Linked DNA regions of Arabidopsis thaliana. The protein of the gene in region 3 interacts with the protein of the main gene of each other region in a pairwise test. Each region holds a gene or a part of one and is shown on either strand. Other genes may lie near its edges. The genes, in order: AT2G43220, AT1G24230 and NIMIN1.

What was found.
Region 1: the proteins of NIMIN1 (region 3) and AT2G43220 interact in a two-hybrid assay, tested with the Arabidopsis thaliana proteins (one large-scale study listed by BioGRID).
Region 2: the proteins of NIMIN1 (region 3) and AT1G24230 interact in a two-hybrid assay, tested with the Arabidopsis thaliana proteins (one large-scale study listed by BioGRID).

The regions. Positions count from the first base shown.
Region 1 is NC_003071.7:17,962,413-17,966,816, reverse strand, and holds AT2G43220 (Cysteine/Histidine-rich C1 domain family protein), read right to left. Parts: upstream 2,599-4,404; 5' UTR 2,478-2,598; coding exon 861-2,477; 3' UTR 606-860; downstream 1-605. Other genes in the region: AT2G43230 (Protein kinase superfamily protein), read right to left, coding at 1-47, 157-224, 310-342; AT2G43210 (Ubiquitin-like superfamily protein), read right to left, coding at 3,257-3,495, 3,586-3,828, 4,017-4,404.
Region 2 is NC_003070.9:8,583,387-8,587,021, forward strand, and holds AT1G24230 (Paired amphipathic helix (PAH2) superfamily protein), read right to left. Parts: upstream 1,750-3,635; coding exon 1,607-1,749; intron 1,535-1,606; coding exon 1,322-1,534; intron 1,210-1,321; coding exon 1,035-1,209; intron 940-1,034; coding exon 838-939; intron 758-837; coding exon 653-757; downstream 1-652. Other genes in the region: AT1G24240 (Ribosomal protein L19 family protein), read left to right, coding at 3,045-3,254.
Region 3 is NC_003070.9:497,346-500,518, forward strand, and holds NIMIN1 (NIM1-interacting 1), read right to left. Parts: upstream 1,195-3,173; 5' UTR 1,136-1,194; coding exon 707-1,135; 3' UTR 572-706; downstream 1-571. Other genes in the region: ARFD1A (ADP-ribosylation factor D1A), read right to left, coding at 1-134.

The DNA.
Region 1 (4,404 bases), on a different chromosome or scaffold from region 3:
TACGATCATTCGCCTGCGTTTTCACCAAAACACATAAATGAGCTGTTCTAACATGTTGCAGGAAAACAGAGGACTCTGCCTTCAAATCAACAGGCTAATAACAACAATTGTCTATCATGATCAACACAAAGGCAAATTAGGTTTCTTTATAAATACATTTGTAGATAAGTATTTTCAAATTTTGTAAAAACATTAGAATTTGTTGCGCGTTGATCTTGATTGACCTAAGACCATTACGTGATCTCAAGACATGATTTAAATAAGATGACATTTTTAATGATCAAAGCTGTGTTTGCGTGTAATGCTTACCACTTGACCACGACGATGAAAATCACGATCCATCAGAAATCAGAATGCAATTTAGAAACAAACGATCAACGAGCAATAAACCAGAGAGACGAATCAAAAGGAAAAAATGTTTGTAGACAAATGAGAGGCAGAGACGAAAGGAGGTGATGAGCTCGTGGAGAAATTTAGGAATGAAAAAAATTTGGAATCCCAAATAACTACGGAAAAGAAAAGACAGAAAACACAAAAGATAAAAGAAAAAGCTAAGAAAAGAAAGAAAACGTCAAAAGGAAGCGACAGAGAGGCGTGTGATCAAGAATAGAACAAACATCCCAATTTTGGTGAATTATAATAAAAGGTGTGAAGAATAATTACCTTCAAAGTCTCTCTCTCTCTCTTTCTCTCTTTCTCATAAATAGTTTTATGAACTGAATGAGCAAACCAACAATAAATCCAAATATAGAAAACAAGTTTATCTGAAAATAATTGAAAAACATTACACAGCCTCCATCTGTAAAAACCCATATTCTTTTTATGTTTCCAAATCCTTCCTTTCGCCTTCCTTCAGGCATTCAGAATTTCGCATTCTGAAAACAAGCTTTTGAGCAATAGTAGTACTCAATATTTTTTCTAGTAACCTTGAAAAACCTAGGGAACCTACAACGAGAGCCACAATCAGTGCATTTTGGTCTAGAATCGTGATCGTTGAAACCCACTTCAAACTTATTCTCCCTGTTCTTCATTATTATTCCAGGTTTTATGTTCAAAAAGTCCCCGGTTACGCATTCAATATGGCACACGACCCCACAATCATCGCATGTATAGAACCATCTTTCAGGATTGGTTTCGGCTTCACAGATTTCACACCAATATTTACCTTCAGGCGCCTCCTCCCCAGAGCGCAAAACTAAATAATGTGTATCACACCTATGCTTTATGACTAATGGTAGAGTGGCGCATTTGTAATCCAAAGAATAATCACAATCAACACAACGCAGCACATTGAGTTTATTCTCACCGCAAGCTAAGCAAGTACCACGATCTATTGTGGTTAGAAATAACGTGTGAGGATGAAGTTTGGGGTGCTTGAAGAAAGAGAGAGACGCACACAACACATCGAGTACCACACCCTCTTCATCCTTGTAGCTAAAACCCCTTCCATCTCTATTGCAAGCATCACAACTGAAATTTTGTTCGCTAAAATCCTTCCCGAAGCGAAGATAAAATATACCTGTGGAAAGTCCATGTCGTTTCGTAAGAGGAAGATTCGCACACTCTTCGTGAAGAATAAACTTGCATTCCACGCACTTGTAGTGCTTCTCAGAAGAGACTGGACGGGCGCAAGCTTCACAATGCATGTCTTCAGCACCATCTATAAAAACATCCTCAATAAGGAATAAGTTATGTTTCTCGTGGGAGAAATGATAAATTACCCCTTCCTCGATCACTTCAAATGGCGCAACGTCTACTACTTCCTCAGGTATCCCTTCGAGTTCGGTCCCATCCCACACGTCTTTTCTAGTTGCACATTTTGAATGAACAAAAAAATCTGGACATTTGTTGCATGAATAGCCTCCGTACGTGGTGTTGATATCTTGACGACAGATTTCACATACCCAATTCCCACGTTTGAGAGGATATGAATGTGAAATGCGATGATCATGACGATTGATGTTGATGACGTGTGGTAGATCAATACAATCATAATGAAACATGACAGAGCATGGTAGGCATACATAAGGGTTCCGTTCACCATGCGTACCACAAGCATTGCAAGTGAAGGATACTTCCCTTCCCATGAGGGTGAGTGCATGCTCGTGGCACTTTGGATGATCCACTTTGTGGGGCGGGGGCCTGTTTCCGCATTCCATATCTATGCTGAAATTGCATAACTTACAATGGTAAACGAAGTTGGAGAGTTTCCGTTGACAGAGGCTGCACTTCTCGTCAGAGTAACTAGGTGGCCCTTGGAGGAGAACCTCTAGGGGATGGTTCGGGTGACAAGGGTGGTTAATATTCTTCGTTGACCTTGGCACGCAATAGGGATGCCATTTTATATTGCATCTGAAGCATCCATAAAAAACTTCAAAGAAGGGTATAGCACTCCTATGGCACTCTTGGCAAGTGAACATACGATATTTTTCATATAAAGGATGTTCGTGCCAAAAGAGGTCCAGCGTCTTAGCCATGGGCAATGTTAAGAATGGTTGTGGATACGATGAATGAATAAGGATCAGGGAACTTTAAGAAAATTGAAAAGGTTTAACTTCAATTCCTAATTGATCTCTAAATCCTTATATTGTTGACCCGTATCACTACCCACGATCTCCGATATAAATCACTCAAGTTGATCATCGTTAGTTGTACGCAACTAATAGAACTGGTTTAGTCTTTTCTTAAGGCTCAATTTGGGGGGTCCAAGTGTTTATTATATGTCAAAAAAATTATTTAGTTAGTCCGACTAATCTTTCACCGGATTATTAAAATGCGTACTCATCGTTGACTATAGAAATATATATTAAAAAATTGTCTGGTTGATCACATATATATGTTTTGTTATCCGAGTTGATAATATTTTGGAAGGTGTGAGGATGAGCACAAGGGAAACCGCTAGGAGAACAAGAAGCTGTCAGTGAACGCCTTTTCACAGTTCAATGAAGTCTTCACTTGCATAGAAAAGAATATACAGATTCTTATATTTAAGCAACCATTTAACTCTAATATTTTTGTTATGATTGGAACCGAAGTTAATCAAACGACACTAATTAATTTCTAGAACCGAATTTAATCAAACAGAAATTGCTAGTTTTTTTAGATTTAAATTTAATACGAGCAACCGAAAAAACGGAAACGCATCAGGATACATTTTGCAGCTGGTCTCTTAAATGGTTCATAAAGAGTCAAGTATAAAAAGTAAACACCCGAGCTGTTTCTGTATCTATCCACACAGATTTCAACTTCTCTTATTTCATCGTCTATCATTACTGTCTCCACCGCTTCCACCACCGTACTGTGTGGAGTTTCCGTTCCAAAAAGCGTTTCCATCACCAAACGGAGCCTCATCTTCATTGTGATTCAACGTATGGATGTTACTTCCAATCCGAGAAGTGGTTGGTCTCCTATTCCTAACGTTGCTCCTACCTTCTGATGGATCTTGAAAGGACGTCCCTACTTGCCCCAGATTGTTTCTCACCTCCGTATTTGGTCCTATAGATAGAAAAAGAGAGAATCAGATTAGCAATTACACGACTTTCTGCATTAGAATGGATTTTATAAACTCATCATATTCCCGCATACTTGTTTGACGTTCTGGAACAGAGCTTGATGCGTTGGCAGTACCACCGCCAAAATATGAAAACGGGTTTGCATAAGACAGTACTCTTCTAACATAAGCAAAGTAACCGCCACTATTAGGGTCTGTGTTGTTGTTAGACTCCGAGTAAGATGTTCCTCTTTGATAGACGGTTGCTCTTTTTCGCGGAACTACTACAAGTGCTTGTCTATCGAACAATCTCAACTCGGATAGAGACTTATCCAGATCTGCAGAGATTAAGAGTAATGGAGTTATGTATCTACTACACTAGTCCAAACTGACCAGAAAAAAAAAAAAAAAAAACCTAAATGGCAGAAAACATCATCTTCGATCAAGATGAAGCTGGTTTTAAGGTAAAATGTTCTTTACCAAATAAAAATAAAAATCTATTGGATGCATTGTAGATTTTACGTACCTTGGTCAGTATACACCTTACGTGGGTAAGGAACCGCAAGATCATAAGCACCCAGTCCGATTGTTTGATTACTGTTCACATAATCCTTGACCATTCTCAATATACTTGTCACAGAAAACTTCTCCTGAAGGCTACTACCATCAGGTAATCGAATGTTTAAATGAACGTCAGATGCTTTTTTGGATTTTTCTCCATCCTCTTCCTCTCCTCCTTCATCCTTTGGCTTCATGGTCTCTTTTGTATCGACAGATTTTGTTAGATTAATGTCCCTTCCACTAACACCTACACCACTATCCTCTTCATTTATCACAGTTCCCTGTTTCCTTTTTCTATCAACAGAAGATCGAACCCTGGATGTATTATCATTTGTTCCTGGGGCTGTAGGACG
Region 2 (3,635 bases), 8.1 Mb from region 3:
CATAATAAATTTTACTTGAATTATCCGATTGACTACTCAAATAAAATAATTTCTTTTAATTTTAGTTTAAAACCAATGGAGGATATTATTGTAAATATTTTTACGGATATATTCCAAAACTAATTTTTCGTGGATAATTTACAAAAGAAGTTTGAATTAGATGTTTAAAATATTTTCAATAAAAAGTGTGAATGATTAAAATCATATTTGAACGAAATCATGATAAAATTTACTTGAATTATCCGATTGACTTCTAATTATTTGATTTGTTGTGATTAGATTTACTTGATTTTTGTTTGCTCTGTAATTTTTGGCCATATATATAGGTTTGAGTAAAGGCTCTGTTCCTCTCTCTTTTTGTTTCTACATTAGACTAAGATGACCCCAAAATCTCATGTCTTCTTGGTAAGATTTAACAAACGAAATCATACACTCTCGTTTTAGTCTCTTATATTTACCCAAACCATTATGCATCTCATTGATCTCAAATATAGAAGCATATGAGTAAGAATCAAACTAATCTCAAATGTCTACAAATGATAACTATACACTCACTTCTCGTTAGAAAGAAGTACTCTTTTTGTCTCTTGTACCCCAAACATTATATTCCAAGCATCCTAAAATAAAGCAGAGACAGTCTTCTATAATGTACTCATCTATCTCTAGCAGATTTTGACCCTGATGGACCAGTGGTTCTCTTGAAAACGTTTGAAAACTCCATGACTAAATCTTCATGACCCTGAAGAAGTGCAACAACCTGCAAGCAAAGATAACAAAGCTAATCAAACCAAAGAGCTAAGAAGTGCAACACACAAAATGTCCCACCAAGAACCCTACCTCCTGGTACAAGTCATTTACGGATTTGTTTCCTTGTTGGTACATTGTCAATATCTCGAGAAATGACTCATATACATGGCCATCATTCCCCTGGAACCTTGCCTGTACATCGATGAATTTGTTATCTTAAATCACAAGTTAGCGTAGAGGAAACACCAAAAATAGATTAGTTTACCCATTTAGCATCCTGTATATACCTTAAGCTTGCTGATAAAATTTGCTACACGTATTCTTTTGTTATTATCAGGCTCAGCTTCGAGAGGGGTGGTTTTTGTATCTCCAGTTGAGAGCAAGACACTGAAACCAAGAACCAGATTCCGGTGGTCTTTCATGAGTTCCGTCATCCTTGCAACGGCACTAGGAGCATCGACTCTACAAAGAGAGACTTAGTAACATCAGAATCAGTTCAGTTCACATGTGTGTGTTGTTTTGTAAGCAGAAATTAGGAGAAAATCAAATATAACATGGAGAAAATAATTCATACCTACGGGCGCTATAATCATTCAAGATCTCGAGAAACTGAGCATATTTTGCAGGTTCATCACGAAATGATTCCTTCAAAGAATAGATGTATGAACGTACATCATGAAATGTTTCCTTAGCCTCAGCTGGAAGGAAGGCATTGAAACGAAGTAGCAGATTCACGTGATCTTTCAAGAGTTCCCGCATCCTTGGAACGACGGTAGCTAAATCGACTCTACAAAGAGAAAAATAACATGAGAATCAATCTCTCACATGTGTAGACTGTTTAAGAGCAAACCAAACATACCTATTAGCTCTTAAATCCAGCATGATGTCGAGAAACTCTCGATATTTTGCAGGTTGATCAGCCCCAAATGCTTCCTTCACAGCATTGATGTATGACGTCGCTTCATCAATAGTAAACGCCGGTGATAAGCTTCCTCCAACCATGGTCTAAAATTGGCCTAATCCATAAAGATTGAAGAGGTCTCAACTCATTGAAGAAACAGAAAATAGAGTGCATAAATACAAATCTTATTCCTCAAGAAACTTAATCCACCAAACAACACAATAGCCGAATTAGAAGAATCATGTCAAATTCATCGCAACAGGATCCTTAAGAAGATCCAGAATCAATCTCGAGTAGAAAGAAAAGAAAACAAAACCAAGAAGGATGAGCAAGAAACTAGAAAATTGCTCGAGCGCCTTTTAACCTAATCGTATCTGATGATGGAAGGAGAAGATGATCGTAACCCTAATCTTCCGGTGAGCGAAACTATGTTCAATCGAATGAGGAAGCAAGTATGTTACCGATATATAAGCAGACCAAAGACGACAATGAACAAGAAGCAGCTTCGTCTTCGTCTTCTTCGCAGAGTAAGGGAGTTCAAGATTTCTAGAAGCAAAGTAAAACTTCAGAGACTTTTTTTAGAGTTTTTGTTCACGAGTCTATATTTATACTAGGGATTATCATATATTCATACTTGACTTCAATTTTTGTTGTAGTTGTAAAACTATAATTTGTAAGAGAAAATTGAAACATAAATTTATAAAGATTTCTATATATCAAAGACGATGATGATGTGATATTTGTATTAATTTTAATCCTTGGTAAATTCTTATATAAATTCGTAATTTATATAATTTAGGAAACATATTTGTTGTCATTAGATTTACTTGATCTTTATTTGGTTTGCTCTGTTTCTCTCTGTTTTCGTCTATACGTTGAACTCTGCTTTGACTTTTGAGTGCTTACACTCTCGCCTCTCGGTTTCTAACAAATATGACCCCAAACCAAAAATCATATATGTACATGCCAGAAGAAGAATCGACCTGAATTCAAATCTCTATAATATATGAAACAATACAATCACTTTTCACCTCAATGTTTTTTTTTTGTTAACATTGAGGTTTTCATATGAGGTCATATCGATTTTGTTTTGAATTATTTTAGATTATGATTTCTACATGGATAGACAAGAGTTTTATTGTAAGTGCATGTATGTAATGATGTTCTGTTCTCTATACAATAAGCATCACACTAAACTCTTTCTAGCAAGAAGATGTCAAAGAAAAAAGAAAGGATGTATTTGATAAAAGCAAAAAATATCAGGGGTATATATGCAAATTACCAAAACAAAAATAAAGAAACCTGAAGGAGCAATGACAAGGGATTTGTTTTTCTCAAAATCTCTGAAAGCTTTTGGATATTTGTGATCGCATAGATCGATTCCTTTTGCGGAGAAATGCAATTGATTCGTGGCAGTACAAGGTTGCTTCAGAGGCATCGTTTCTCCATCTCCAACACTCTTCCTTTCACTTCTTCTTCTTGTGGAAGCTGGTCTGCTAATGAATCGAGGAAGCTAGGCTTTGATTCTTTCCCTAGTACTAGAGCTGCGACATATCTCATTAGCTCGTTGAAAAATGCCGGCTTTTCCTCTTTGGCAGTAGTACCTGTAAGCCATTGTCCTTCTCTGTCTTTGGTTTAAGATTGTTTTTTACTTCGTGTGGATTTGTAGAAATGTAGACGAGGTTTTGGTTGGTAATAGAGATCTTATGTCTAAATTGGTTTGAAAATTGCTAGGAATGTAAGAAAAACGAAAACTTTGATCTTGGGTTGGTCTCGCTGATTACTGATGAGTGTAGTCACTCTCCTAGCTTCAGATTCCACTGAATTCATCTTCCAAAAGCTCAGAGATCACTAAATAGAAAATGAACTTAATCAATGATCTAAAGCTTTGTTGCTTGTTTTTCTTTTTAAGCTCTTTGTTGTTTTACTTGCAAGAGATGTAGATATAAAGGAACCAACTTCGTGCTCTTGTTACTTATTTTTCAGC
Region 3 (3,173 bases):
GTGGTAAGGGTTTCTCCGGTTTTGAATTTGTGCATTATTGATGATTTTCCGGTACCGCCGAGACCAAACAACACGATCCTCGCTTCTTCTTGGTGAAAAAAACCGGCAAATGGCTTTCCCAGAGTCGTCCCCATTTTTTTCTGGTTCTTGCAACGAAGTTGACTTTTTTTGGCTTTGGAAAATATGAATCACAAGGAGAGTCCTTGAGAGAGTTTTTCAAAGTCAAGTGGTGGTTAAAGCTTAAGAGTTCAGAGTTGTCTAGTCTGTTTCAAGATCCGAGGAATCACAATCAAAAGTCATCTGGTTGACTTTTGGATTATTAGTTGTCCGATTCATATTTGTTTATGCAACTAGTTGCGTATTTGTTATAATCTTTATATTTGACTAGATAACAAATCTGGTCAGCAAAAAAGGTTTAAAGTAATGATCTTCTTAAACAGATAATTATACAACACATAAAATTTAAACAAACTTTGCAATATTCAATTCTTACAGAATGATAAATTTTATTGGTTTTGGTTTTGCTCTAAAGAATTACGGTTTACCGAATCAATCCCATCTGACAGGATGTTTTGCCTCACGATTCTTTTGAGTTTATTCATTTTAAAGTTAATTATCGGACATTTTAGTTAAATGAAGGATTTAATAATCACAACGCTAACAAATGAAACATGGACAATTAAAAATAGATTAAAACTAATTGCTACTACAATGCAAGATTAAGATCTAAAGCCTTGTCTTCGTTTCGCTCTTCTGTTTGATCTTCTTCTTGTTCCACCTTTGTATTTTCTTCCTTGTGATCCGAAACAAACATCAATGGCGGCTTCAAACCCGTACGACACTGAGAGAAATCCTCCGGCTGAAACGCCGGAACTACTATACCGGACCTTTCTCCGCCGTTAGATTTCCTCCTCACGACGCCAGAATTTTCAGCTAACTCTTCTCGTCTACGTTTCCGTGCTTCTTGATAGTGTTTGATAAGCTTAAAGAACGTATCAATCTTCTTCTCTTCTTCCTCTTCTTCGTCTTCTCTTACTCTCTTATCAACCCTGATCGTCTCTTTGCTCTCCACATTCTCATCCTTGCTCATGGTCTCTAGGGAATAATTGTATAAACTAAATTGTTTAGGATACATTTAGAGAAAGTGATTGATTTTGGAGAGTGAAGAAGGCAAATAATCCTTTTCGTCTGATGACTTTCTTTTAAAGGAAAAAAATTAGTCATCACGAAACTTCTTAGAAAAAGACTAAAACACCCTGTCCCCACCTCTTTTACTCTTTAGTCCTTTTAGTTTCCTAGTTACAATTTAAACCACAAAAAACGAAAATTGGAGATATTTTTCCAAGTTAGTTAGGATATTTAATTTCGAAACTTTATAAATGGGTTTTTTGGTTCCCTGTAAATTCAAAATAGTAATCATAATTTTTATAATTGTTAAAAAAGGGACCAGGGGTAAAAGAGTAAAAGAACGCGGAGATATCAACGTTAAAATTACGTCAGATGATGATGTGTTTGGGATGACAACGTGACATGAAGCGGTTACGAGATGATGTCACAATGATGACGTAATCTATACAACACTAATCTACTTGGATATACTTTTGAAATAAAGAAAGACTCTAATCATCAAAAACTTGACTTGATGCGTTTACTTTACTCGTGGTTGGTCTTGGAGAGATATTCTAGTAGATCCGAGTGTACAGCACTCTATTACTATCAACCGTTAGATCTAATATTTCAGGCATATGTTTTTGAATCTAAGGATGGAGAATACCATAATGCTTGAAAAGGTTGATATATTAACGTACTATTTTACTATTAAATTGTGAATGATGAGGTTATATAAAAGATTTGTCGAATAAAATCTCATATTGTCGGCCACTTGTATGTAAATTAAATTAATTTGTATATGTGAAATTTGTGTGGAACAATTGGATTCCAACGAAGAACATTTTTTCCCCTATTTTTGGTATTTTAAATGAATGGTAATTAGATTACCTCTATTGATGTTACATAAACAAAAAGAAACTAGATTTTAACCCGCGGTATATCGCGGGACGATTTATTTTTAAAAATAATATATATTAAAACTTGCAAATTTTATTTTTATAAAATATTTATATTTTACAGTTTATAATTGTTATTAAGTAACGCTATACCACGAATTCATGAGACAATTGTTAAAAAAACTGAAGTTTTGACCCCTATTAAAACAGCATATTAATAATATTTTAAAATTTTATAAATATTGATTCAAATACATCCACCATATAACCCAATTCCAAAATAAAACACGTTCTGTAATTTCTTTAGGCGTCCCATGATTTTTTTTTAAAGTAGTAATTTTTAAAATTTAAGAATTATTTTTTATATATAAAAGTTTTGCAAATTGTATCATTCTCTAATACATTTATATTTTATAGTTTAATTTTATATATAGTAACATTATACATACCACATAACATTTTTGGTTTTATATAATTTTTTCTAAATTAGGATGATTTGATATGTTTAATATTAGTGGTCTTAAAATTAATGATTTAACCCATATTGAAACGGTGGATTAATTATATTTTACTTTTTTATTAATGTTGATTCAAAAACTCGTCCCTCCATGTTGACTCTGAATTATAATCTAAACATTTTAGCTAATAACATAAGAGTGCACCATATTTATTTAATAGGGGAATGTACCATATGACCTGAATGCATTTTTATCCAAATCCACCAAAACATTCTTGCAAAAATACTATAGAGATAAGAAACGATAGTCGGTTTTGATAGATATAAGATTAGCAAATATATTAGTTAGCTTAAATTAGTTAAAGAATACAAATTAAAAAGGTATATTACACTTTATTCAAATATAGTATCAAAACTTATATAACACAGAGATTTGATAATTTTTTAATTGTTGAATACTTTTTTTTTGTGCTAATTTTTATGTGATTAAGATTTAATTGATTTCATATATAAAATATTAAATTGACTTATTTGTTTATAAGTTGGTAACATATAGATATTTGAATATTCAGTATATTTTGCTTCAGTTTAAGAAATCTTTGATGACCCGTCTTTAGATTCAATAAGCCCTATAATCTAGAGATTAATCTGCAGTATACCGCAGGTAGGCTTATATTTTAGTTAAAGTAAAAACTTTTATTGTAAAGATG